Lonchura striata: one gene and its partners. The protein of the gene in region 2 interacts with the protein of the main gene of each other region in a pairwise test. Links are inferred from orthologs where the notes say so. Each region holds a gene or a part of one and is shown on either strand. Other genes may lie near its edges.

Region 1 (6,992 bases), on a different chromosome or scaffold from region 2:
AAAACAACCTTGCACTTCAATCCCCTTGGGTCATTGGACTTGGCCTTTCTGTGACAATGATGATTTTCTCTAATGGATGAATCCTTTGATAGCAATATATGTAATCTAACAGTTTCTTCATAGACAATAAAATACAGTAAAATTAGGCACCACATGGAGAATAGTTTAACTATTAGCTATTCAGAACTCTGAATTCTAAGAAAGTACATTAAAAAGACAAGAATAGGTACAATACTTAAAAATCCAGGACAAAAAGGTCCTTTTCTTGTCCTGTTTAACACATAAATCAAGATACTTGAATCAAGTGTTTCATGTACTGAAGGCTGAATCTACTGTATCAAAAATATATCACTAATGATGTGTTTTGGTGGGTATTTCATCATAAACCTTCTTCGTGTATCTAATATGAGCTCTGGAGAATGCTGTGATACAAATCTTCCCAAACCAAAAGACCTAAAATCTAAATTGTTTGTGTCAGTTGCACTTGCAAGTGCCATTACAGAGAAGTTACTCACTTCTTACTAATATGCATAAATATTCCTCAATTCATCCTGTGGCAAACAGCATATTTTCCAGACCAACAAAATTAATTGCCATTGAAAAGCCACTGAAAAGTTTTAATTATTTATCTCGATGCTTAGTCTGGCATGATGGACACCAGTAAAGTTCTGAACAAAAAATCCCTCCTTGGGCTGGAGGTTTTTAGAGGCTGATCAGGGGAGGGAAGGACAATCCCATAGTCAAACATAAAAACATTGAGGTAAAGATGCTGCGTTCACCTGTAGATCTTTGGAAGTAGAAATTAATTTGCTACACATCATGTCATTTCTATTATTTCTGCTCAGTCTTTGAACTTACACAAAGCAAGTATGTAAGTTTATGGTACAGGAGTTGGAAATGAGACCCAACAAACTGATTCCCAAACTACCTACCTGAACAGCTTCAGAGATGATGTACCACAGGGAAAAGCATTCATCTCTCCAGTAAGACATGACGTGACATTTTCACATGACATATCATGGATTTAGTGAAATGTACAGTTATTGAACGCACTTCAGAACTGTTTGACACTTGGATATGTGGGACTAGTCCATGCTGGGGAACTTCCTCCTTGCATTAGTCTTTGTGTCTTGTACAAACTGATGCAAGCCAAATTATCTCCATTAATGAATAAAGAGGGTTCTTGCTGCAAAGATGCAAATAATAAAATAGCAACTCAATAAAACATCCAGATTACCCACTCAAAATAATATGTCCAAATTACTCTTACAAATAAACTTCAGAATTATTTTGACAACAGAAGTATTTTAGGATCCTTATAGGTAAAAATATATGCATATATTAATGTTTTAAACTCCAACGCCTGAACTAGCCCACAATCACTGTAAGAAGCAAAGGCACTTGGAACTCAAACTCTTACTGATAAGTGATTAAAAAATCTATTCTACACATGCCTCTGTGTAACTAATAGAATCACAATATGCAGTTTAGCCATGGAGGGTGGTCATAACCATTGTACTTGCAGAGATACTGATGTGACAATAACTCCAAGTAAGTGACCAATGATGCTAAATTGGCCTAATCTAAGTCTATAAAATCATAATAATTAGATATAATATTTTTAAAAAGTTATTTCTTTAATATAGGCTATTTCAAGGAATTTTAACTTAGAATGTGATTGATCTGTTTGGTTTCATCATTAGTGTCATTGGAGTTGCAAAAGTTTGAAAATGGTACATTTCTGGGAAGAACCTTTGTCTATTATTTTAACTATAAACTAAAGTATCTGTGATTTTCAGAAACTTAGCAGAAAACTTTAGCTGTGTATTTCAAATATTAAGAAAGACAAATGTCTAGGTAAAAAAATGTAGCTATCTTAAGAGGCAGAAAGGATGAGGTGCTTAAGGGAAATAGAGCATTCAGCAGCAGCAATTTGGAAAGAGAAACATTGGAAGAGTTGTGAAGGAAGGTGAAGTGGAAAAAGAAAATAAACATAACTTAAGAATGGCAGAAGTATATGAAGTAGGGGACTGCCAACTCAGCAGGATTTAAATCAGACCAGTTAGTCAAAAGGTCAGGCAGGAGACCATGGCGTTTGTGAGATGCCCTCCAGAAGCCGAAGGAGCTTGGAGACAATTTTTTTAGTGTACTGTAGGAAAAGTATAGATCTACCAGGGGGACCTAATTTCATCCTTCCAGTATCTGTAAGAAGCCTAAAAGAAAGATGGAGAATTACTATTTACAAGGGCATATAGTGACAGGACAAGGAGGAATGGCTTCAAGCTGAAAGACAGTAGGTTTAAATAAGATATAAGCAAGAAATTCTTTACTGTGGGGTTGGTGAGGCACTGGAACAGATTGCCCAGAAAAGTTGTGGATGCCTCATCCATGGAAATGGTCATGGCCAGGTTGGATGGAGTTTTGAGCAACCTGGTTTAGTGGAGAATGTTCACAGCAGAAGAGGTAGAACTATATGATCTTTAATGTACCTTCCAACCCAAACCATTCTACAATTCTACCCAAGGAAATACACAGAAGCTCAGAAAACAAATCCAAGAGAGGCACATGGAGCAAGAGCTCTTGATGTGGAGATAGGTGAGCTCTTGCCTATTCTTCCTTGCAAGGCCAATGTATGGAGCTATTATCCAAGCCACTTGTTGTGTGCTATGCGGTGCTGATGAATACTGTAATGCTGGTGGAAAGAGGAAGCATACAGAGGAGGGCAACCACTTATAGCTGGGCCTATATGGCATAATAAGCTGCCCTTTTATCAGCAAAACCTGCACTGGGGATGATGTCAAGTGCCCCAAGCCCAGCAGAAGTGATTATTCTCCTGTACTCAGCACTGGTGATGCTATACTTTGAGTCCTATGTCCAAGTTCTGGGTCCTTCAATTCAGGACAGACATTGAGGTGCTGGAGCAAGTCCAGAGATGGGCATGAGGAGCAGCTGGGCGCAATTAGCCTGGAGAAGGCTCAGGGGAGACCTTATCACCCTCTTCAACTTCCTGAAACAAGGGTTTAGGCAGATGTGGGTTGTCTCTTTTCCCAGGCAACCAGCGATAGGACAAGAGGACATTGTTTCAAGCTGCACCAGCAAAGGTTCCGGATAGACATGAGGATGAATTTCTTTACAGAAAGAGTGACCAGAAATTGGAATGGACCGCCTGTGGAGTTGGTGGCATCACTGTCCCTGGACGTATGTAAGGAAAACCTGGACGTGGCTCTGAGTGCCATGGTCCGGTTGACATGGCGGTGTTCAGTCATAGGTTGCAACCGATGACCTCAAGTCTTTTCCAACCTAATTGTTTCTGTGACTCTGTGAAGGCAGGCCCGGGAAGCTGCTCGGCACTGCCCCAGCCTCTCACACGACTCACTAAGCCAGGACGGCCGGGACAGTCGCGCAGCTGAGCATCCCCAGATGTATTGTGCAGCTTGCCGGGGGCCCGTGCAGTCCCGGCCGGGCCGGAGACCGAGACACCCGCACCGCGTCGGAGCGCCCGCGCCCGGCCGAGCTCCGCCCTGCGGGGCTGCCCCGCGCCGCCACACCCACAGGGGGCGCTGCGCCGCACGGCCGGGCCACGCAGTGGAGCCCGGGTGCGCGGTCTACGACTACTACTACTACTACTACTGCTGCTGCTGCTAACGCCGCTGCCAACGCCGCTGCCCCTTCGCCCCTAGAGCGCCGCAGATGGCGCCGGCACCGCGCAGCGGGGCGGGGCCGGCGGCGAGCGCCGCTGAGCCTCCTCCCCGCTAGCCCCGCCCCTGGGCCCGGCGCTTCCGCCGCCGCCGCCGGGCGGAGGGGGCGGGCTGCCCGCGGCGCTGGGCGCTCCCCACGCCTCACTTTCCGGGCGGCGGCGTGCGCAGGCGCGGGGGAGGCGCGCAGGCGCGCGGCCGCGTGGGCAGGCGGCGGGGGGAAGGTGCGAGCAGCCGCCCGCGCGCGGCCGCCGGCGGCGCGTGTGTCCCGTGTGTGCCCCCCCCACCGCCGCCGCCTCCCCCGGCCCCGCCGCCGCATGCGGATGGTCCGCGGCGTTGGAAGATGGAGGGGCTGACGCTGAGCGAGGCGGAGCAGCGCTACTTCTGCGACCTCTTCTCCTACTGCGACACCGAGAGCACCAAGAAGGCGGCGTCCAACGGGCGCGTCCTGGAGCTCTTCCGCGCCGCGCAGCTGCCCAACGACGTGGTCATGAAGGTACGGCCGCCGCCGCGGGGCCCCCGGGGGTCGGCGGGCCCGGCCACCGCCCCGCCGTGTCGAGATGGCCCCGGCCCGGCCCTGCCCTTCCCCTCCGCCCGGCCCGCGCCCCCTGCCCGCCCCGCAGCCCTTGGGCGGGGGTCGTCCCGCCGGCGGGGACTCGGGGATTACCGAGTCTTGGGGGTTGGAAGGGACCTGTGGAGGTCTTCTCGTCCAACCCCTGCCGAGGCAGGGTCCCCTGGAGCAGGTGACAGGGAACGCGCCCAGGTGGGGTTCGAGTGTCTCCAGAGAGACTCCGCCACCTCCCTGGGCAGCCTGGTCAGGGCTCTGCCGGCATCGGCTGAGGAGGCTCTGCCTCGTGCTCAGGTGGAACTTACTGTGATTTAGTTTATGGCCACTGCTCCTCATCCTGTCGCTGGGCACCACTGGAAAGAGCCTGGCACCCTCCCCTTTGAGATATTTACATGCACTAATGAGATCCTCTCTCAGTCTTGTCTAGACTAAACAGGCCTAGCTCTGTCAGTCTGTCCGGATAAAAGAGCTCCAGACCTTGATCACCTTTGTGTCCCTCCGCTGGACTCTCTCTGTTAGCTCCTTGTCATTCTTGTACCGAGGAGCCCAGGACTGGACACAGTAGGATGGAGCTGTTTGACCGGCCACCTGAACCCCTCCAGCTGCAAGGGGAGGGCAGGGGGCACAGCGAGTTGTGCACCGTGCACCCTGTGCCAGCCTCCCCTCCCCTTATGTACCTCCAACTGCAGGGCTGGGAAGGGGCTGGTGGTGTCTCTGCTGGCAGCCTCCAGCAACTGGTAGGAAAATGTTCCATGCCAACAGAGGCCGTCCATAGCGTGAGAACTGTAGAGTGTAAAACTGAGAATGAGTGAGATTGTCCCCATGATCTGCTGATGAAGGGCAGCATAGAAGGAAATTTGGTTTTGTGTCCTTGGGAGCTACTGACACTGGTCCACTTCACCTAAGCCATGCAGTCTTTTTTGGACATCACTTGCTGGAAGGTATTAACTTACCTGTAGTCAGCCAAATGTTTCTATTAACAAAAAATGTGGTGTTAAGACTGACACGGGCCCATACTTGCAGTATGTATGTGCCCAGTTTTAGCATTTCCTTGGTCAGGTTATGTCTAAGACGTGTAGCAGTATTGCAGAGCTACCTGCATAGGAAAGGGAAAGTCTGCTTTGGTGTGCGTAGGTACACATTTGAGGAACGTATTCCCAGTGAACCATTCTTATGAATGGCTATTTGTAATAATTTGCTGCTTCTGCAGTTCCCTCTGTCATTGTTCAGTGCTTTAAAGTGTGCGTAGTCTTTTAAGCTCCTGTGGGTAAACCTGTATTTAGAAAGCCATGCTGCCTTTTGTGCAGTTTCATCCTCAGCCTAGTGAGATAACCAGCACGAAGTATTAAACTTACTATTGCTAGAAACATAAATTGCAAGATACTGAAATTCAGTGCCAGGAGAACACTTACTGACTAAGGTTACTGTTGGTGTGTTTTGGGCTTCCCAGCTTGGTTAGTTGAAATGAGTTTAAGATACAATGAGGTGGAAGAAGGCTGAATAAGAAATGGTTCTTCCTGGTAAAACCAGTAATCTCTTATTTGACGACTTGCTATACTGGACTTAATGGTAGGAGAGTCTGCGTGCTCAGTATTATGAGTAAGGTTTCTCAAGGGCCACCCATGGCTGCTTTTTGTTTGTAGCAAGCCAGTTTCAGAAAAATCATCCCAGGGAAAGTGAATGTTTACATCTTTGCTGTGTTTAGAAGTTTCTTTTACATAAAACTTGTCTGAATCAGTGTATAGTAAGCTAGTGCTAGAGATTTTACTTTATGCAGGAATTTAGTGAAAGAACTTGGAAAGACCTGAAAAAAGTGTCCACAGGTTATATCCTTGTCTTTTGCATAGGAGGTCAGATATTTTCCTGCAAAGTAGACTTCATCTGAAGAAGAGAGACTACTCGGGCATCATTCCATGGGTCCTAAATAAATTAGCTGAAGTAGACCTGGCTTATCACTCTAGTGATCTCAAGGAGAACCTTGCAGTTAAAATGGCAAACAAGATATTAGATTGCCTGAGGAATGAGACTGTAAATAGTACAAAGAAAGTTGAAATGCCCTTAGCAGTTTGACCCATTATGAGTATCTTGTGCAGTCGCAGTTGGTCACCTGTAAAGTACTTTGTCCTTTGAAAACAATTTAGTTGTGTAGTTATTTTGCATACTTCTTAAGGTATGGCTCTACACCAGGTTAACACAGGCATAAATATATTGGGGTTCTTCAAAGGGAAGTTGCATTTGATGCTTTGAAAGCTGAGACTATGTAACTTAAACCTCAAGATGAAGTAGCTTAAGAAATGAATCCTGTGAAGGAGGTGGAATTTTCTTTTGACCATATGAGTGCTATGTTTTTACCTGTTCATTTGAAGCACCTGATGCTTGTGGGGAAATGAACTTGATTCAGTTACTTAATCCTTACATAATCCTGGAATGCAAGTGTAGTACTGGTCACATGAATGCTAAGTACTTTTGTAGGTGTGCAAAACATAGCGTAAAATGGTCGCTCTTCAAGCTCACGGGGAGCAAGTAGTCCTAAGGAACTACTTCCTAGTTTTTCCTTTTCAGTACTACAGGTTGGTAGGTACCTTTGAATAGTTCAGAACTAATTCCATTGGAAATGAAAATGTCTGACACTTGCATTTTTAGATTCATAACTTGTTTTACTTGCAAATCGGTTGTGTAAAGGCTGGATAGATGTGCAGCCTCTTTTGCAAAGAGTTATGTCCTTGTAA
Region 2 (7,159 bases):
CTTGGGTAATACCATATAAATCCTCCACTTCGCAGCAGCTGCCCCAAGTAAACAGTCATTCCCCAGTTTTTACTGCAGCCTAAAGAAAAACTGGAAGCAGGGAGCACTGGATCCCTGCTGCTATTAAGCTTTGCAGACTTGCTCTTGCTGCCACCATCAAAATCTGTTTCACCCTTCTGTACCTCCACACCTTCAACTGAGTTTGTATTCCCTGATGTCATGCCCAAAAGGTGAGGGATGGCTGGGATGAGAAGGGTAAGTATGGACAGGAAGGGAGTCATACCAGTCCTTTCTCTAAACTCAGCCTGCATCCTTATGCTTCTGGTTTTGGCCATGGCAGGCAGAAGATGTAAACCTTATCTGCACAGCAGTCACCCTTCAACACCACCACTTCTGCGGACGCAGCCAAACTAAAACTTCCTACTCCATAAGGTGCTTCCAGCCCAACTATGGGCCCATTTGATATATTTTTTTTTTTTTTTTAGCAGCAATTTGAAAACTATGATCCATGAGGCACTGGGGAACAGCAGGAGTTGACGAAGGATAGCAAACCATGCACATAGCAAACCATGACTAGTTGTAAGAGTAGCCAATCATTCACTGATTCAACACATTAGTTCAGAGATAAGCTTGGTAGATTATGCTACATTATACCACTATAAACTGAAGGTAAATATCATACTATATTTTAGCATTCTGAGGCTAACCACATGACATCAAGCTTTACAGAAGGAAAATAAATTAGCATTTGGTGGTATTTATTGCTGAACAGCAACATCTTCCACATCAGTCTAAAACCTGCCCATAAGAAACAGCAGTGTTTATTCAGGAAACATGCAAACCTTTTCTGTAAGAAAATACAGCTAAAACTTACTGGGAAGGGTGCCTGAAGGACACAGTGGAGATGAGAACCCCAAAGAGTTAGATGCAGCGCTTGTGCATGTCAGTTTTGCTTTAAGGACATCTGCAGAACCAAGACACACAGCTCCAAAGCAGGAACACGGTTATTACAATTCCAGGACAACATACTCCAGTGCAGACATGCCCATATAGAAATGGAAATAATCTGCCCTACAGAAAAAGAACTTTCTTTCTCACATAACTACAATCACACCAGCGGTTTCACTGGGAAATCCTTACTTTGGGGAAAAGCCCCACCAATTCAAACTACAAAGTATGCCCTCCTACTCCTGAATACACCTTAACTAAGAACAATGTTGAAGTTGTGCGTGGAGTATTAAGATTTTAAGGCAGCTATTCCTATGCTCCATTTCAGATGTGGGAAGACTAAAGAAAATTTATTTTCTCCAAGCTAGAAATAAGACCCATAGGACAGGGAATGTAAAGTTCCCTACTTCAACGTAACAGACACTCTATTCTTGCTGTAGTTAGCTAGAACATTACAGCAAAAGGGTTAATAAATTTCACACACCTAGAAGTACTAAATGCTCAAAACTACAACAGTCTGGAAGGGTTTTGGTTTTTTTATTTCCACTTTATTTCTCTGTGGAAAAGTGCCCCCCAAGAGCTTGTCACACTGACTGTAGGGATTATACCCAGACTGCGCTGAAATGAACTGAAGCACAGCACCATTCACCACCAGCTGTACACAACACTCAATCAAAACCCAAATCTAAGGGATCTAAGGGATCCCTCTGCCATTTTCCTGTAAGCTGATTAATAAATTTACATCCATTACTGTTCTGCATCATATCCAATGAAGCCTTAACATCATTCCTGACAGGGTGGGTTATGGCAATGCAGAACACTCATGGTAAGCACATCAACCTGTTTCCAGATCAGAAACCTGTTTAAGGGCACAGTTAGGGCTGTTTTGCTGTGCTGAAACAAGGGACTTGCACAAATCACCCTGGTTTATGTAACAAGTAAAAAGGCCTTAGCCTGTTTTTTTAAAAATTACTATTTTCTATCAACAATTATCATTAACCTCAGGGACACTGGGGTGGAGGAAATCCACACCACTGTCATGAACAGATACGTTCAATGTGGATTGCTGGTATTTTCTTTGTCACCTGTTTGAACATCTGTTAGCACTTAAAAAAAGATGTATTTGCTCATATATAACCCACTAACATATCCTTGGAAGTGTTCAAGGCCATCTGGGATGGGGCTCTGAGCAGCCTGGTCTAGTGAAAGGTGTCTCTGCTCACGGCAGAAGGGTTGGAACTAGATGGTCTCTGAGGTCCCTTCCAAACCATTCTGTGATTCTATGATGAACAGTAACACACACTTTCTGAGCAACATTATCAGGTATGAAACACGACATTCTTAGAACCAGCTAATCACACTAGATGCAGAAAAATTACAATAACAGTAAGTTTTCTGGGTTTTAAGATAAGACTTCTAGGCGAAGGTAAAAGAATAAAAATCCCTGACCTCTCCCTCCCCACAAAAAAAAAAAAAAAAAGAAAAAACCCAAAAAAACCCAACGAAAGACGACCTTGCTGAGAGCCAACCCACAGCCCAGACTGAGCTGCAACGAGCCCCGCACGATCCAAAGGGAGCAGCCGCCTACGGAAACAGGGCGCACAAGGTGCCCGGCGCCTGCCCCCGTTAGGGCAGGAGGGACAGCGCGGGGAGCGGAGCGGAGGGAGGAAAGCAAGGGAAGGTAAACAGCCAGGAAAGGAAGGAGCGCGATGGAGGAGCAGGGGAGGCGGCGGCGCAGGGAGGGGAGCGCCGCCAGCGGGGCGGTGGGCGTGGCCGCCGGCAGCCCCGCCCCTCCCGCCGAGCGGCCGCGCCGGCCCCTCCCCCACCGGCAGCCGCGGGGCGGTGGCGGCTCGCGCCGCCCGTTGTAGGCGCCCCCCTCCCTCCGCCCCCGCCCGCCCGGGCCCCGGACGGCCCCGCGGCCCTCACCGGCGCGTCGGGCCGGGCCGGCCGCCCCCCGCGCCCCCGCACTGACCGTCGGGGGGTCCCGCTCGCCCGCGCAGCGGCTCCGGCTCGGCCTCACGCGCGGCGGGCACGCCCCGCCTCGCGCCCCATCCCGCCGCCGCCGCCGCCCGGCGCTCGCAGGGACGGGCGGGGAGCGGCGCGAGCTCACGCCACCGCGCACGCGCCGCTGCCTCGCTCCGCGCGGCCGCGAGGGCGGGGAGGTGGGGCGGGCGGGACTGGGCTCCCCGCGCGCGGAGCACGACGGGAGTTGTAGTTCCCACTGGGAACGCTGCCGGCAAGGGCACTCCAGGTTGCTGCTGGCCGCCGCACTACAACTCCCAGCGGCCAGCGCGCTGCGAGGGAGTTCCAGCTCCGCTGCCCCGCATCGCTGTTGAAGCTCCGCGGGGTCCGGCTGCTTGAGGAGACTCCGGCGGGATACGTGTGCGAAGCCCCCTCAGCAGCCGCCGGGAGCCGGCAGCCAGCAGGTGCATCAGTCCTCTGGGAACACAAGGAACGCAAGCGCCCCTGAGCCATGCGCTCAGGGCCCTTGTGGTCACGAACGCCAGGGATGTCCTGGGCTGCAGCGGGAAGAGCGCTGCCAGCAGGTCGGGGGAGCTGATCCTGCCCCCTGTTCGGCACTGGTGGGGCCGCATCTGCAGTGCTGTGCCCAGGTTTGGGCTCCTCAGTACAAGAGAGACATGGAGCTCCTGGAGCAGAGCCAGTGGAGGGCAGCAAAGATAATTAAGGCACTGGAGCATCTCTATTATGAGGGAAGACGGAGGGAGGTGGACCTGTTCAGCCTTGGGAAGAGACAACTGGGAGGGGACCTCTTCAACGTATATAAGTATTTGAAGGAGGGAGGATGCCAAGAGGATGGAGCCAGGCTCTTTGCAGTGGTGTCAAGCAATAGGTTAAGAGGCAACAGGCAGAAACTGATTCACAGGAAGTTCCACTTGGATATGTGGAAGAACTTCACTGTGCAGGTGACCATGCACTGGAACAGATTTCCCAGAGAGGTTGTGGGGTCTCCCTTGCTGGAGATATTCAAGCACCATGTGGGGACGCAGTCCTGTGTTGTGTGCTCTGGAATGATCCTTCTTGAGCAGAGAGGTTGGACTAGGTGACCCCGTGTGGTCTCTTCCAATCTGACCCGTTATGTTATTTTGAGATTCTTTTGGCAGTGATTACAGATGGGTATGGCCAAGTGAGTTGTGAGATTACACTAGTCAGAATGGGAGGTCAGCAAACACCACAAGCCATCAGTCTCAGTGGGAGCTGACACAGCCCCGCAGGTGGGGGCGCCTGGACCACCTTCCATGTGATGTTACTGCTGACAGAATTCCTCTTCCTCCGTTCACATGAAGGCTTCGGCTTCATCCACCATACAAATCTGACCTCCTGAGAGGAGTTACCCACTTCTCTCTACTGCTTTCTGGAATGCGAGAGAAATGGGGAAAGGCTCTGGATGCTGCTGGAGGTGACCTGTGCCAAGGAACACATCCCCATCTCAAGATGCATCCTGTTTACAGTGATGTTATAAGGAATTTTGTGGGGGTTTTTTGCCTCTTACAATGGAAGTTTCTGTTACGTTGAGCACCTGCGTAATTTGAATCCCTTTCAGGATTGCTCATCAACAGGGGAATTTGTTTCAGTCAGAAGCAGGGCCGATTCATTCCCACAGCCTCGAGCATAATCCCCGGCCTATTGGACACATTAATACCGTGGCAGCGTGCCACCTGCTCCATTTATTCACTTGAGACTCAGTGCTGCTTAGTCCCTGTCGAATGAGCTCTTTGTGCCACCTCCTGCGGTAATGTAAAAGGTCCCCCACAGGAATTTGTGCTATTCAGTGGAAGCTACAAAAGAGAGGGTTGTAAACACTCCGATTAGTGTTGGAGCACAGGGATATTGTCTTCACCACTTTTTACATAACCTCGCAAATTCCAGTCTCCCTCCTCCTCTCCAGAAGAAACAGTGTAACAGCAAAGGCTCACCAGGCTATTTAACTTAACATCACAGCCAATGTGTTTCTTTTTTTGTTGTATATAAAGGCCGCCTTACTCCTGGCAAAAGAAGAGAGAAGGGTTAGTTCTGTAACATCCCGTAGTAATTTGAGATGGTTGCCCATGAGGATCCCCACTTGAAGTGACAGTGGCCAGAGGCTCTCAGCGCTGAAGAATGTGTATTATTAGAGGCCACTGCCAACAAAAGTTCATGCACAATGGGCTCATCAGCTAATGAGCCCAGAATGAATTTTCTCCCAGATTTTGAGGACAAACAAATGATTGTATGCAGTGCTGGCTATACCAATTTACTGCCATGTGAAACAGATTTGGAGGGTTTCTGACTTGCAAAATTCACTGTGGTCTGGGACCAACTTACACAGACTGAGGCACTTTCTTACACCCTCAGCTTGCCTCACATTCACTCAGTAAATTCTTACTGCTTTAAAGACAAAGTGAAGCAAGGATTCTGAGGTGGCAAGCTCTCTGCATGGAAAATCAGTCTCACTGATGTACCTGAGCTTCATAAAAGTAATAAAATAATAATGGAGGAGAGCTTCAGAAAGCATTTGGTCAGGGAAAGAAAAGGGGAAAGGCATAGCTGTGTTAATAAATAATTCCTTCCTCCTACTACTACTTCAAGAAAGCCAGTTCTGGAGTTGAGTTTGTCTTGAACAGATGGGAGTCTATGTGGGCTGTATCATTCTGGGATAATTTCAGATGTGCTGTGTAATTCTCCTTAGCAATAAAGGAATACACAGCAAACATAAAAATATTTAGCTTAGGAAAGAAACGAGTTGGCCACAAACTGAAACAAACAAGTGAAACAATGAGAGCCTGAAGATACAACAGGAAAACCTAGAGGTAGTAAATTAGTTCATGCCTTTGGGGGAGAAAAAATGTTCATAGAAATTACCACAGAGCAGGAGAACAGAGCCAAAAAGGTGTATGATCCTGAACTCTGCCTAAGCAACTCCTATGAGCAGTATTATGGAGCAACAGAATCACTGAATGGTTTGGGATGGAAGGGCCCTTAAAGACCACTTATTTCCAACCCCTCTGCCCCAGGCAACCCTAGAACAGGTTGCTCAAAGCCAAGTAATTCCAAGTTCTCTGTGGTAGGAAGAAAATTTATAAATACTTGTCTTAGTTTAGGGCAAATTTGGGGAAAACCCTCTGGAAGGAGCCCCCAGAAAACAACCCCCCATGGCCCCTCCCCACCCACCTGGTTCGGGAAAAAAAAAATTTTCTCTGAGAGAAGTGGAAAAGAACCTGTTTATTTAACAAACAAAGCACTCCCCAGCACCAAAAAAAAAAAAAAAAAAAAAAAAAAAAAAAAAAAAAAAAAATTAACAACAGATTGTTGGAACTCAAAATGTCTCTCAGACATTTTTGGAGGTTCCAGGCCTTGGTCAGAAGCATTTTAGACCCTGGCAGACAGCTGAAAAACAGCTGTGATTTTGAGTTTGATCCATGGAATGATTTACCAACTTTGGAGGTGGAACAAGCAGTCACAAAGGGTTAGATAGTATAGTAAAAGTAGTTACAAAGTAGAGGGGAAATTTTTTTAGTATTGTACAGGGGGGTTTTAGCACCTGTACAGGGGGGTTTTTACTTTGTACATGGGGGTCAGAAGTTCTAAGATGGAGGAAAGTGGGCTGATCCTGTTCTTCCTCCTTCTTTTTCCTTACCTCCATGTTCTTGGTGATGCTGGCACTTATGAATTGGTTTAGAGTAGAAAAGCACTTTGTAATATAGGTAGTAGGTATTGGGGAAAAATTGTAAACATATAATATGTAATATATCATATAAAAGATAGCAGCAGCCCTGGGCGGGGAGGGAGAAGAAGACACCAGACAGTGAGGGTGTCAGGGTGTGTGTGTCTCTGCTTGGGCCGCTGATCAAACAGCCGCAGCCCGCAAAGACAATATTTTAGATAACTCACAATAAACTGCCTTGGGACCAAACAACAAGAGCCTGCGGAGTTTTTCTTTGGAAGCACGGGTTGGAGGAGAGACTTTAGCACCACACGAGACCCCTGACCAAGCCCGGGGTTCTCACACCAGATGACAACAAAACTCTTTCACCACTCTGAAGAGATGAACAAATCCAGAAAGTCTTTCCTGGGAGTGGTCGCCCGGGTCTGGACGCTGGGGATTGCTCTCTGGCACTGGGGATGTCTGCTGCAGATCACAAAGCACAGGCTCTCGGTGTTCCTTGGCGTTTCCCAGGTCCCAGTCCGGAGCAGGTTGGATGGTATTCAGGAA
Region 3 (6,872 bases), on a different chromosome or scaffold from region 2:
CCTAACAGCTTTTCTCAAAATAACTGCATTTGCACACACATTCTCTACCACAGAAAGTGAATTAAAACACTAATCCCTAATCAAGAATATTTTAATAAAACTATTTTGAACAGGTGTTTTGTTCATAAACACACTGTTTCACACTCAGCAGCCTCACAAGTCTAACCAGAACACATGAATCCACCTAATCAAAAGCCTGTTAGGTGCTAACATCAAAAATGTCATTAGCATTACAGGATATGGCATTGATGAGCACACAATAGTAAGACCAAATGATGGAGTAAAAATGAACCAAGCAAAACACGAACAGCAGCAACATAAGCCTCAGTAAACCAAACAGTAACTATTGATTCAAATATCAATATCCTGTCTGCCACTGACTCAAACCAAAGGTACCCCATCAAGCAGTCAAAAGAAAAAGGGGAATCAGCTTGAAGCCAAAGTAGGGCTGGACAGCATCACAATCCTTCTAGATGTCATTATCATCTTTTATGTCTTCACAGGTAAAGTTTTGTCTAAAAATTAAATGTAACTGCATAAAAACACCGAAGTAAAGGAATTCTTCTGTTTGTTTTTACTGCCATTAGTAACATTTTTCTAGCCAACAGCAGTCTAACTGAAAGAAAAAGCTGCTGTACTTAAAACCCTGGAGCACCAAACTAACACAAAGCAAAGCAAATTGAGTCTTTTGGCTGGTTACATGTCACACGGATGCAGGCAATAGGACCTAATTTGAACAGCCAGTAATACTAATTTGAATAGTGTAATAGTCAGTACAGATATCTGCTTCAAATAGCTACTGAAAAAAATTGTGCTGGAATATACTCTATTACACAGACAATTGCTCTTTTTTTCAGTCTAAATAATTTGCTACCACACATATATTTCTCACCTACTTTTAAGCAAAAGAGTGGCTTATATTCAGTTTCATAAATAACAACTTTAAATCATTTGACTGAATACTTTGGGAAAGTTTACCAAACAGCATAGAGGAATTTCCCATCACAAAGCTCAAACATCACAGTGATTCTCTGCTCTTCCCCCCTATCTCTGAAGTCATTAAAAACCATTTAAATTTGCTCCTGCTCTGGAAAAGTCTCACAGGGAGTATCATGCTCTGATGCTCAGGAAAACTGAGAAAAAAAACAAAACAGGAAGCCCTATATTGTTGTTCTGAAACTCAGTTAGATCATGTTTGCTAACTATATCTCCTCTCTTTCAGGATACTCCTCATAGTCTTTAAGCTGCACTAAAGCCTCAGAGTAGTAAGTGAAGAAGCTTAACAGTCCCACAAGGAGACAAATGCACCCTATTACATAACAGTGAGCTGAGCACTTCTTATCTTCACAGGTCTGAGAACACTGCCTCCCAAAATATCAGCTGCCTCCTCAAGCAAAAAGAAGGGAATATTAAAAACACAGAGCAGAGATAACTTAACAAATCACCAGCACAGGGACCTCCCAAAGCTCTCAAAGGCTAAACACAGTGGGAGGAAAACAAAGACACAAACTCATACAGAGAGTTTTTAAAAAGGGATTAAATTAGAATTGGGTGTTATTGCAAGTTCTCATCTGGGTGCTCATAACCAAAAAAGAAAGAAAAAAAGATTGATACCTGGCAATGCTTTAAGCGATACACAGCAGCCTCTGCACATGGCTTAAAAAAAAAAAAAAAAAAAAAGCCAACCCAGGAAAATTATGTAGGGAATGAGAAAAAAAAACCAAAAATAACGAAAAAAACCCAAAAATAACGAGATACTAAATGTAGTGATTATGAAACATTCAAGTACCCAGTCATTCAAACTAGGAATGGAGGGAAGGGGAAGGAAGGACAGCTCCTATCACCCACAGGCCAAGTTAAGTGCTGGCTGTGCCTCCCTGATAGAGACCGAGTCAGGAGCACTCTACATTTCAGTAACATTTCTAGTTAAAACAGACATTAAAAAGTTAACTTAGTTAAGCAATTACATCAAATGGAGAGGAAAAAATGTTGACACGATACAGTATTTTTTGTCAACTATCTGCTGTAGAGTGCCAGATGTATACAGTAGGTAACTTTTTTCCCCAAAAGTTCTGTTTGGCTTACCAAATCTATTAAATAGCCTACATTTACCTACTGTAGACTGAAACGAGTTTTCTGAGATCGCTCTCCAGGCTTGCTAGAAACAATTTTGGTGAGGAAAGAGTGCCCAGATTCCTCTTGCTGGCCCAGGTATGGGAGCACACTGCAGGGCAGGAGACACCCAAGAGAACCCCAGGCCGGGCGCTCACCCCGGCAGCGAGACCCCAGACCCGCAGAGGAGCGGACCACCCCTCCGCAGCCTGCTCCTCCAGGGCGCGCCCAACACACAGCTTCTCACGCGAAAAACTGCCAAAACACGGAAAAGCAACTAAAACAGCAACTTATTCCGGAAAGCGGCGAACACCACAGAGCCCGAAGCCCCGGGACACGTCTGGGAGCAAACCAAAGGCAGCATTTTGTTCCGTTCACCTGCAAACACCATCTCCAGACGCTGGCGTGGGGACAGAAAGATGCTCAACAGCAGAGTATCTTTTCTTCTGTCGCTTTAGAAAACACGCGTGAATGCACCATAGGTTTACACATACACATATACAGATATACATACAAACATACACATGTGTATATAGGCATGTTTATACACACACACACACGTATACACACATAAATATATATATGCACACACATAAGCATCTATATACACGTGTAGATACACACACACACGTATATATATACACACACATGTATAACAGACAAGCCAGCTTCCACAGCCCGTACGGCTCCCGGCACGCAAGCCGCCGGCCCCGCGCTGCCCGGCCGCTACCCCCCGGATTTCACAAGCGGCCCGCCCGTCCTGCTCCTCACCGCGGAGAGACGCCCTCCGAGCCCCAGCGTGTGCGGCCGGCCGCCCCTAGCTGCCGCCATGTCGGCCACAAGGGAGCCCGCTCCGGCCCATGTCACTTTAAGGCTCGGCACCCGCGCGGCGGCTCGCTCGCTTGACTGCTATCCCAGCCTGCCAATGAGAAGGGAGGACCGCGCGTAAGTCCCGCCCCGTCTTCCTCTCAGCCTTGATTGACGCGGAAATTGTCCAATAAGAGAAGAGCGAGGGCGCCGCTCGGCCAATCGAGAGGGACGGGCGGCGGGCGAGCCCCTGAAGCCAGCGGCGCGGGCGGGGGGCGGCGCGTGGGCACGCGCGGAGGGAGGATGGCGGAAGAGGCCGGCCTTTGTCAGAGGAGCCCCCGCGCCTGGGCCAATGGCAGCGCAGGGCCGCCGCCGCCGCCCGGCGCAGGGCAGGGCGCCCGCGGCGGGATTGGCGGCGGCGGGGCCGGCGGGGGCGGCGATTGGGCGGCGGCGTTCGAAGGCAGGTTTGGCGCGGGGCGGCGATTGGCTGCGCGGGCGCAGCGCGAGCCCGGGCCCGGGGCGGAGGGAGGGAGGCAGAGAAGGAAGGGCGGGGGGCGCGCGCGGGGTGACGCCGCCGCCGCCGACACAAGGGGGACGCGGGCGGGCGGCGCGCGGGGCCCAGGGCGGCACCGGCGGCAGCGGCACCGGGACGGCGGCGGCGGCCCCGGCTCCTCCTCGGCGGCCCCGGCGGCCGCTCCGTCCCTCGCCCCGGCGGCACCTCCCCATTCCCCTCCCTCGGCCCGCCCGTGTCCGCCCCGCCGGATGGCGGCGGCGGGCGCGGCGGCCGCCCCGGCGCTTTATGCCTGCACCAAGTGCAACCAGCGGTACCCGTTCGAGGAGCTCTCGCAGGGCCAGCAGCTGTGCAAGGTGCGGCGGCGGCCCCGGCCGGGGCTGCTGTTGGGGCGGCGGGCGGGGGCGGAGCGGGGCCGGGGCTCGGCGGGCAGTAACGCGGCGCTGTCCCCGCAGGAGTGCCGCATCGCCCACCCCATCGTGAAGTGCACCTACTGCCGCTCCGAGTTCCAGCAGGAGAGGTACGGCGGGTTCTGCTCGGGGCCGGGCGCGGTGGCACGAGCGGGGCCTGGCCGGTCCCGAGAAGAGCAGGCTGAGAGGGGATCCATCAATGCATGTAAATACCTCCGAGGCGGGTGCCAAGCGGGTGGTGCCCAGCGACAGGACGAGGAGCCGTGGCCATACACTAAAACACAAGAAGTTTCACCTCTACATAAGAACTTACTTACACTGAGGGTGGCAGAGCACTGCATCAGGCTGCCCAGGGAGGTGATGGGGTCTCCCTCTCTGGAGACGCTCAGGATCCGCCTGCACGCGTTCCTGTGTCGCCGCTCTGGGTGACTCTGCCTTGGAGGTCCCTTCCAACCCAAGTCTTCTCAGAGTCTGCTTGCAAGTAATTGCATGGGGAACAATGTCAAAGTGCATGTTTGTCACCTAATTCAATGTTGTGCTATTTTATCTCTTTAGCAAAACCAACACAATATGCAAGAAATGTGCCCAAAACGTGAAGCAGTTCGGAACGGTGAGTAGTTACTTGGTTCTTTATGCTGAAGTTTAGCTTGTTTGTGCTTCAAACCAAAAACAAAATTCTCTTGCTACTAATCTTCTTATTTTCTTTTGAGGAAAAAAAAAACCAAACAAATCCACACTATAGATTGCCATCTAGAAAGGTGATGGAAAAGCCTGACATATCCTGATTTCCTCTGTGGGCTACTGTTTCTTTTCCCAAATTGAAACCCATTTAGGTAATATATAGCTTAACAGTTAAGAATAATTTCAATATAGCTATTTGTAACAAAGCAATGTTATTTCACACCACACACGTTCCATTATTCCCTGCATATTTTCATAAGCACATGCTTCATGGCAGGAAGACCATTAGCTCTCATTGTTCTTAACAAGTGGTAAATGTGGAAGTCTAGTAATACCACATACTTTATATAACGTAAGTCTTAAAAAATGCATATTAATCGTGTTAAACTAATAGGTACAAAAGATTTGGAGTATTATCAGCATTCATGTTACTTTATATTTTCTCATGTTGTATTTTAGCTTCAGTTCTGTTGGAAAAATTAATTTTTCTATCATATGAATGCACACATTCTATCTGAGCTACTGTGCAGATATGAGTTTTTAGGAGGTATCAAAATAATCTTGTGAAACAAAAAGGCATGACTTCGCTATATTTGACATAAACTGTATTAGTTGAAATTCAACTTTTTTGAGAAGCGTAATAGCTGTTGGTATGTAGTCAGGCACTTTGTGAATGTGTATGTAAACTGAACAAAGAATTGCTTTCAGAAGCTTAAATTGCAGCAAAATGAATTGCAGGACAGAACCATCAACGATTTTATCAGTAGTTCATCAAAAAAAAGAACTGCACTGAAGATAATGAGCCACTTCTAACCTATGAAAACTGACATCAATTTTATTTTTCAGCACTCTATTAGTCTAGTTGACTGTATGATATAAAAGTTGATAACCTGACCTGATAGTTCAGATCTATTTGATTGCTTTTTGTTTGGTGGTAGGGTTTTTTTTTGTTTTGGTTTGGTTTTTTTTTAAGTTTCCTGCAGAATTTCAGGGATTAGGATACTAATCTTGGAACTGTAGGGTTATTGAATCCCTGAGCTGTGCAAAGGAGAGGGATGCCATCAGAGACTTCCAGTCTAAAAAATATCACTTGATTACTCTTATTTTAAAGTTGTGCAAGTAATTTCTTAAGTAGTGTGGCAAGACTGAGAGAAAATATATTTTAAAAAATATATTTAAAAAAATAAAATGCAGTAGGTGTAGAGATTAGTAACCAGATAGATGTGTGCTTCTTTTTTTGTGTCTGGGTTTTCATGGAAAGTCTAGGCTGGTTTTAATCCTTGCAGAAGCATCACTTTAGAGGAAAAGTTTAACACTGAAGATAAAAATGGTAGGAAAAAGGTTCTTTAAGGTAGATTATTTGAAACTCTTCCAGTTTCGAAGCATGATTGTATGAATTGAAATAGCAGAAGTTTCATTACTGCAAATACAAATGTATTGACTTTTTTTTTCAGCCCAAGCCTTGTCAGTATTGTAACATTATTGCAGCATTTATTGGCACAAAATGCCAGCGTTGCACCAACTCAGAGAAGAAGTATGGTCCACCCCAGACCTGTGAGCAGTGCAAACAGCAATGTGCTTTTGATCGAAAAGAGGAGGGAAGAAGGAAGGTAGGCTTTGTTCCACATCTCTCATGGCTTAGGCTGACAATAGTGTTCCTCTTTCAGAAGACAAAGATTAACAGGAATGTGTCTTAAGTTCTCTAATACTAGATTCAAGTTGCTGATATGTGCTTTACAATATTTTAATTAAATTTTGTAACTTGCAATTGTTACTTTAGCTACTGAGCTAACTTTTAATTAAATCATTTTTTGTGAAAATAGGCATATGTGTTCGCAGACAGTTGTATCTGGGGAACAGAAGTTAAACAGCTCAACAGCTCCTCATATTTTGATATTTATTTTACTTTTTTTTCCTATCCGTTGGATTTCTTGTATGTTCATAACTTGAGTCTGTCACTTTACCTCTTCTTATTTGCCTGCCTTGCCTTTAAGTAGAGCACCAGAGAGGTAGACTGCTCTGAGCAGCCCTTTGTGTTCTGTTTTGTTAAATAGCTTTGGTGAGTGCCACTTTCTCATTCCAGAAGGTGCTGAGAAAATGACCTCAAAAGCCTCTTGACTGAACCCAAGGATAATGCTGTTTTTACAGAAGAATTTACTTGGTACAAGTAACAACGTTGTAAAAAAGACTCGTCCTTTTAAAAAGTTTTTGTTATTTCTGCATTGTAGAGCAGGTCCAAAAATTGCTAGGACTCTTTGTAGCATAACTTTAAAGGACAAGTGAAATAAGATTCACATTACTAAAAGAAACTTACATATACTGGAGATACAATAACGATGTTTCATAGCAAA
Region 4 (7,004 bases), on a different chromosome or scaffold from region 2:
GCTGGGGAGGGACTGGGGGTGCTGGGGAGGGACTGGGGGCACTGGGGAGGGACTGGGGGTGCTGGGGAGGGACTGGGGGTGCTGGGGAGGGACTGGGGGCACTGGGGAGGGACACTGGGATAGGACTGGGGGTACTGGGGAGGGACTGGGGGCACTGGGGAGGGGCACTGGGATGGGCACTGGGGAGATTGGGATGGGCACTGGGGAGACTGGGGCACTGGGGTGGGCACTGGGGAGGGGCACTGGGGGCACTGGGATGGGCACTAGGGGCATCACCGGGGTTGGGGTTCAGGGAACTTCGGGACATAAAGGACAAAGAGACAAACTGGGATTGCACAGACAGGGCACTGGGCAGACTGGGAGTGCTGAGACAGACACTGGGCAGAGGGGGATGTACTGGGATGTACTGGGAGGGGCACGGCGTCCCCACTCACCCATGGCCAGTGCCAGGTGGTCGCTCAGCAGGTCCCCCCCGTGCCCTGCCCGCACCTGGGCCAGCTCCTCCTCCCGCAGCAGGAGCTGGGGGACCCCGACAGCCTGGCACCCCAAACCTGCCCCAGCCACCCCCAAACCCTGCCCCAACACCCCCAAAACCTCCCCCAGCCACCCCCAAACCCTGCCCCAACACCCCCAAAACCTCCCCCAGCCACCCCCAAACCCTGCCCCAGCAGCCTGGCACCCCAAACCTGCCCCAGCCACCCCCAAGCCCTGCCCCAACACCCCCAAAACCTCCCCAAACACCCCCAAACCTGCCCCAACACTCCAGGCACCCCAGCACCCCCAAGAACCCAACACCATCTGTGCCACCCCCAGTCCCAGAACGCCCCGGAGCCCCAGAGCCCCCCTGGCACCCACCTTGGTGCTCGGAGCCCCAGAGCCCCCCTGACACCCACCTTGGTGCCCGAGGCCCCCTGGCAGTGCTCCAGGACCCCCCTGGCCGCCATCTCCACCAGCCGCTGGAAGTCGGGGGTCCGCGCCACGAAATCCGTCTCGCAGCCCACCTGGGGGGGACACGGTGACCCTGGGGGCACGGGGACCCCCGGGGGGGACCCCCGCAGCCCCCGGCACTCACCTCCACCATGACGGCGGCCGAGCCCTCGCTCAGGACCCCCACGAGCCCCTCCCGGGCCCGGGCAGCCCCCGGGGCCGCGGCGCGCGCCCAGCCCTGGCGGCGCGACTCGGCCTCGAGCCAGGCCTCGGCCTGGGGACAGGGGGACAGGGGTCAGCTCGGTGTCCCCGGGGCTGGCGGGGTCACCTCGGTGTCCCCATCACTGACAGGGTCACCCCGGTGTCTTCTCTCATTGACAGGGTCACCTCGGTGTCCCCATCACTGACAGGGTCACCCCGGTGTCCCCATCACTGACAGGGTCACCCCGGTGTCCCCAGGGCTGGCGGGGTCACCTCGGTGTCCCCATCACTGACAGGGTCACCCCGGTGTCCCCATCACTGACAGGGTCACCCCGGTGTCCCCATCCCAGACAGGGTCACTGCTGGCTGTCCCTGTCACACTGACAGGGTCACTGCTGGCTGTCCCCTGTCACTCACAGGGTCACTGCTGGCTGTCCCTGTCACACTGACAGGGTCACTGCTGGCTGTCCCCATCCCAGACAGTGTCACTGCGGCTGTCCCTGTCACACTGACAGTGTCACTGCTGGCTGTCCCTGTCACACTGACAGGGTCACTGCTGGCTGTCCCTGTCCCTGACTGGGGGGTGGCACAGACCAGCCCCGAGCTCGTGGCCATCCCCCTGCCCGGGGACCCCTGGAGCCCCCCCGGGCTCATCCCCCCGCTCCCCACCCCCTCACTCTCCCCCCGGGTGCTGAGTCCCCTCCTGGTGCCCCCCGGTCCCACCCCCGTTCCCCCCCGGTCCTGCCCCCGTTCCCCCCGGTCCTGCCCCCGTTCCCCCCGGTGCCCCCCAGGTTCTGCCCCTGTTCCTCTCGGTCCCACCCCCGTCCCCCCCCCGGTGCCCCCCGGTCCCCCATCGGTCCCAACCCCGTTCCCCCCTGGTCCTGCCCCTGTTCCCCCTGGTGCCTCCCGGTGCCCCCCAGTCCCACCCCCGTTTCCCCACGGTGCCCCCCAGGTTCTGCTCCCGTTCCCCTCGGTCTCACCCCCGTTCCCTCCCTGGTTCTCGCCTGTATCCCCCCGGTGCCCCCCGGTCCCGCCCCCGTTCCCCCCGGTGCCCACCTGCCGCAGGTCGCCGCCCCCCCGTGCCCCCCGGTCCCGCCCCCGTTCCCCCCAGTGCCCACCTGCCGCAGGTCGCCGCCCCCCCGTGCCCCCCGGTTCTCGCCTCCCCGTTCCCCCCGGTCTCGCCCCCGTTCCCCCCGGTGCCCCGGTGCCCACCTGCCGCAGGTCGCCGCCCGCCCGCTGCAGCGCCTCCCGGCAGCGCAGCACCGGCTGCCCGGTGCGCGCCCGCAGCTCCCGCAGCTCCCGCAGCGCCGGCGGCGCCGCGCTCAGCCAGCGCCGCGGGGCGGCCTGCGGGACACCGGCGGTCACGGCACCGGCACCGGCACCCCGAGCCGGGCCGGACCGGGGGCGGGTCCCGAGAGGGGTCCCGGGACGGGGATGGGCACCGGGGGGCACCGGAGCGGGGAGGGGAAGGGCAGAGCGGGGCCGCTCGGGGAGAGCCGGGGGGTCCCGGGATGGGGGTCCCGGAGCAAAGTTCCCGGGGGTCCCGGGGCTGGGGTTCCCGCGGTTTCTGGTGGTCCCGGGGCTGGGGGGTTCCCGCGGTCCCCGGGGCTGGGTGTCCCGCGGTTCCCGGGGCTGGGTGTCCCGCTGTTCCCGCGGTCCCTGGGGCTGGGTGTCCCGCGGTTCCCGGGGCTGGGTGTCCCGCTGTTCCCGCGGTCCCCGGGGCTGGGGTTCCCGCGGTCCCCGGTGGTCCCGGGGGGGAGGTCCCGGTGGTCCCGGGGCTGGGGGGTCCCGGTGGTCCTGGGGCCGGGTGTCCCGCGGTCCCCGCGGTCCCCGCGGTCCCCGGTGCTCACCCGCGCCGCCCCGAGCGCGCCCAGCGCCGCCCGCTGCATCCCGGCCCGGCCCGGCCCGGTCGCGGCGCGCCGGCGGTGACGTCACCGCCGGCGCGCCGCGACCGCCCCGCGCTACGGGAGCCGGGAGGGGTCAGAACGCGGGGCCGCGATTGGCTGCCGCGCTGTGTGACGTCACGCGGAGCCCCGGGATTGGCTGAGCGGAATTTGGGGAGGGGGGAGCGCCAAGTGCCCGGCCCGAACCCCCCCGGACCCGAGAGACCCCCAAACCTCACAGACCCCAACCCGAGAGACCCCTGACCCACACAGAGACCCCCACACCTTCAGACCCCAACCCCAGAGACCCCCAGAGACCCCCAGGGACCCCCAGCCTCAGAGACCCCTGACCCACACGGACCCCAGCCTCAGAGACCCCCAGAGACCCCAGCCTCAGAGACCCCTGACCCCTACAGACCCCAACCCCAGAGACCCCCACAGATCCCCCCAGCTTCACAGACCCCTGACCCACACAGACCCCAACCTCAGAGACCCCCAAACCTCACAGACCCCAGCCTCAGAGACCCCTGACCCTCACAACCCCCCCGACCCTCACAGACCCCTGACCCTCACAAAGCCTCCGACCCTCAGACCCCCCCACACCTGAGAGACCCCTGACCCTTCCTGACCCTCAAAGAGCCCCCCACCCTTATAGACCCCTGACCCTCACAGACCCCCCCAGACCTTCACAAAGCCCCCCACCCTCATAGACCCCACAACCTCAGAGACCCCCCCACAACCTCAGACCCCCCCACCCTGACAGACCCCAGACCCTCACAAGACCCCAGAGCCTCATAGACCCCCCCCAAGCCTTACAGACCCCAGACCCTCAGAGACCCCCTGGTCCTCACAGACCCCAGACCCTCACAGACCCCCCCAGACCCTCACAGACCCCCCCAGACCCCAGACCCTCACAGACCCCCCACCCTTGTGGCAAATGACGGGAGACAAGCCCATTCTATAATGTCAACAAGTCTCCGTTTATTCCAGGCACGCAGGTACAGTTATACCCGTTATAATGAAGCTCATGCATATTGCAAATTTAGGCTCCTCATTGGTGTCTCTAAAAGGGTCAACCCCGCCTTTGGGGCTTTCTATGCCTGCTTTGTTTTCCCTTACATTTATCTTTTTGCTGACCATTCTACTGTTGGGAACCAGCTCACCCAAGGACGTGTGATATTGTTGGATATTGTTGCTACATCCACTATTGCTGCACTCTGCAATTTTCAGCTGCTGCTTCACTAACTGCACGTAGTCATGTCCTTTCTCCCAAAGCCACTCATCCACAAAACTCTCCACACTTCCCCTGTTTCTGTTTTGAACCATTAAATTAGTTGTCCACATCTTTTGAATCATACCAGCCTCTGCAGGCAGCTAAACAGGCAGGGCAAGATCAGCAAGAGCAGTAAAACAACAATCAAGATTCCCACTGCATTCATAATAAAAGTTCTTAGCCAAGGACCGATCCCTAAGCTTTTAAGCCATTCTTCTATCCCCAGACCATCTTCTTTTTTTAATTGATGAAGGCTCTGTTGTAGTTCTTTAATCTTAGCATGTATTGATACAGAATGATCAGAGAGATTCATGCAACACATTCCTTCAAATTCCTCACATCCATGTCCATGGGCCAATAATAAAAAATCAATGGCTGCTCTGTTCTGCAGTACTGCATGATTTACACTTTGTACATCCATAGCAAGCATGGCTAAAACCTCTAATGTTTTATTAAGTCCATCTTTAGCCCAGCATTTTAATTGTTCAGCTAACACCATAGCCTTTCTGGCAGCTCCTCCTGATAACAGGGTTGCTACTATTATTTGTTTCAAAGTACTCCAAAATTGAGGTTGTCCAACCTGATCACATTCTAAGTCATGCACATCACACTTTTTCCTTTTCTTCCCTAGCCTGTCCCATTGCATTAGCAAGGACATATTAGGGTGGCACAGCGCTAGTTTTCCTAGGTAACAGGGTCCCCCTTGTGGTTTTACTGGTATTCCATTCCAAGCTCTATCTCCACAGATCAAAAATACACCTTTTGACAACCTTAAGGGTTTGGTTATCTTGGAACCATCACAGTTGGAATATAACTGTGATGCTACCCTACCTGAGTCCAGTGAAGAGTCCAGAGAAGCCCATTTGTCTCTTGGGTTATTTAAATTCTGCAAGTTCAATGGAACAAAGCTAAACCATCCTCCTGTCAAAACATTCCCTAAACTAGCATTGGCACTTCCAAAGAGATCTAATTCTTCTGGTGGAGATTGTAATGTTTCTTTAAGTGACAGTACCAACAAACATTGCCTGTAGCCATCTCTTTGAGCTCCTGTGTAATCAATATTCTTGTCTGGCCCTTTCACTTTTGCAAAATTCTTGCAAAGTGTTTGATCCTTTACCAACCCACAAAATTCCTCTGGTCTCCAGACAGGAACACCTGTTAGGCAGGTACGAAATGGATTTGTAACTCCTCCCAAGCTCATTGATTAGTCTTGTTAGCCAAGGTTACCCAAATCTTTTCTCTGGGCTGATTAAATTGCATTAGTCCACAACAAAGATTAGTCAAAGGAACAAGATAGATTATCCACCTCATCACCCTCATGATTTCTTCCTCTTGGATTTTAATTTCAATGCCTGCACATTTTCAATAAGCCTATCTAACTCTATGTCTGGATTTCCTACTACTGGTCTTCCTAAATAAGATCTTATAGATACTTTCACCTGCTTTTGGCACCTTGTTGATAAAGTTTTTGAATTTGCTTGCCTAATTAACCCACATGTTCTGCTTCCCATCTATAAAAAGCTAGTATCTTTTGTTCTGGCACTTCAAATAACTGCAAAGCTAAAGCAACTCCTAAGCCTGTGTCTCGTATTAAATCTTTCTGCCAAGTCTCTCCCTGTGCTTGAAAGTCACGATTTTTACACCAAAAATGTCGTTTCAAAAATACTTGGTCTTCCTAGTACGTTTTTCTACTACTCCCACAAATAAAAGCAACCCAACTCTTACAATTAAAACTCCCACAACCAAGGTACTCGGGATTCTTTGGTCCCGGAATATGAACAGTCTGTAAAGCTTCAATACTCGCAACAATTGCCAGAAAAGTTGACTCTGAAGGCAAAAGTTGATCAATCACTGGGGAAAGTCCTCTTATCTCTTGAAGAATGGGTTCCACTGTGCGAATCAGCTTCTCTTTAATTCTCCTCTGGTCCTGATCCGTCAGGGGTCTGCGAGATGAATCATCCAGAGCACCCAGAGTGAACCTGTAGGGTGGAAACACAAAGATATCCCCTTCCCCAATAGAGGACCTTTGCTGGGTTCTGCCAAATACCTGTTTTAGGGTCCCTATACCTGACCCATACTTCCTTGCCCTTTTTTACTCATCTCTTTTTTGTCCCATGTACAATTTGTCCCTTTTTTGTCCATAATGTACCATTGCAGGTGGTGCCTCCGAATCCCCAAATACACACAAATGATTAAGAACAAAGAGCACTTTCATTAATCTTTCCTGAACATCTCCAATCTCTCTATGTTTTTCCAAGTATCTCTTCAAAGTTCCATTTGCCCTTTCTACGATTGCTTGTCCAGTGGGAGAATGTGCTATTCCTGTAATGTCCTTAATTCCCCACGATTTTAAAAATCTATTCACCCTGCCACCAATGTATGCAGGACCATTGTCTGTCTTGATCTGCTTTGGCACTCCCATTACTGCAAAACAACTACATAAATGCCTTATAACATGTAATGCTTTTTCTCCAGCTTGAGCCATTGCCCAGATGTATTTACTATATGTATCTATAGTAACATGAACATATTTCAGAAGACCAAAGCTATTTACATGAGTAACATCCATCTGCCAGAGTTCATTAGATGAAAGACCTCGTGGGTTAACTCCCCATCCCATGCCATGACCCCCATTATGATGACTACAGATAGGACAAGCTCTCACTATAGCAGTGGCATCTGCATGGGATATTCCAAACTCCCGTTGTAACCCTTTTGCA

Evidence for each region.
Region 1: the proteins of RALBP1 (region 2) and REPS1 interact in binary tests that used the Homo sapiens proteins (3 or more experiments, as listed by UniProt). The link is inferred for Lonchura striata from reciprocal best matches to the Homo sapiens genes RALBP1 and REPS1.
Region 3: the proteins of RALBP1 (region 2) and CEP57 interact in binary tests that used the Homo sapiens proteins (3 or more experiments, as listed by UniProt). The two-hybrid records come from large-scale screens. The link is inferred for Lonchura striata from reciprocal best matches to the Homo sapiens genes RALBP1 and CEP57.
Region 4: the proteins of RALBP1 (region 2) and TSFM interact in binary tests that used the Homo sapiens proteins (3 or more experiments, as listed by UniProt). The two-hybrid records come from large-scale screens. The link is inferred for Lonchura striata from reciprocal best matches to the Homo sapiens genes RALBP1 and TSFM.

Annotation. Positions count from the first base shown.
Region 1 is NC_134605.1:51,578,745-51,585,736, reverse strand, and holds the start of REPS1 (ralBP1-associated Eps domain-containing protein 1), read left to right. Parts: upstream 1-3,969; 5' UTR 3,970-4,038; coding exon 4,039-4,191; intron 4,192-6,992. UniProt on the Homo sapiens protein: May coordinate the cellular actions of activated EGF receptors and Ral-GTPases.
Region 2 is NC_134603.1:51,666,746-51,673,904, reverse strand, and holds the start of RALBP1 (ralA-binding protein 1), read right to left. Parts: upstream 3,009-7,159; 5' UTR 2,921-3,008; intron 1,152-2,920; exon of another isoform or gene 875-1,151; intron 1-874. UniProt on the Homo sapiens protein: Multifunctional protein that functions as a downstream effector of RALA and RALB. As a GTPase-activating protein/GAP can inactivate CDC42 and RAC1 by stimulating their GTPase activity.
Region 3 is NC_134604.1:39,869,619-39,876,490, reverse strand, and holds the start of CEP57 (centrosomal protein of 57 kDa), read right to left. Parts: upstream 3,011-6,872; 5' UTR 2,944-3,010; coding exon 2,884-2,943; intron 1-2,883. Other genes in the region: protein FAM76B, read left to right, coding at 3,682-3,786, 3,886-3,950, 4,396-4,450, 5,976-6,131. UniProt on the Homo sapiens protein: Centrosomal protein which may be required for microtubule attachment to centrosomes. May act by forming ring-like structures around microtubules. Mediates nuclear translocation and mitogenic activity of the internalized growth factor FGF2, but that of FGF1.
Region 4 is NC_134629.1:5,337,684-5,344,687, reverse strand, and holds the start of TSFM (elongation factor Ts, mitochondrial), read right to left. Parts: upstream 3,018-7,004; coding exon 2,691-3,017; intron 2,473-2,690; coding exon 2,341-2,472; intron 1,202-2,340; coding exon 1,073-1,201; intron 1,002-1,072; coding exon 894-1,001; intron 520-893; coding exon 435-519; intron 1-434. UniProt on the Homo sapiens protein: Associates with the EF-Tu.GDP complex and induces the exchange of GDP to GTP. It remains bound to the aminoacyl-tRNA.EF-Tu.GTP complex up to the GTP hydrolysis stage on the ribosome.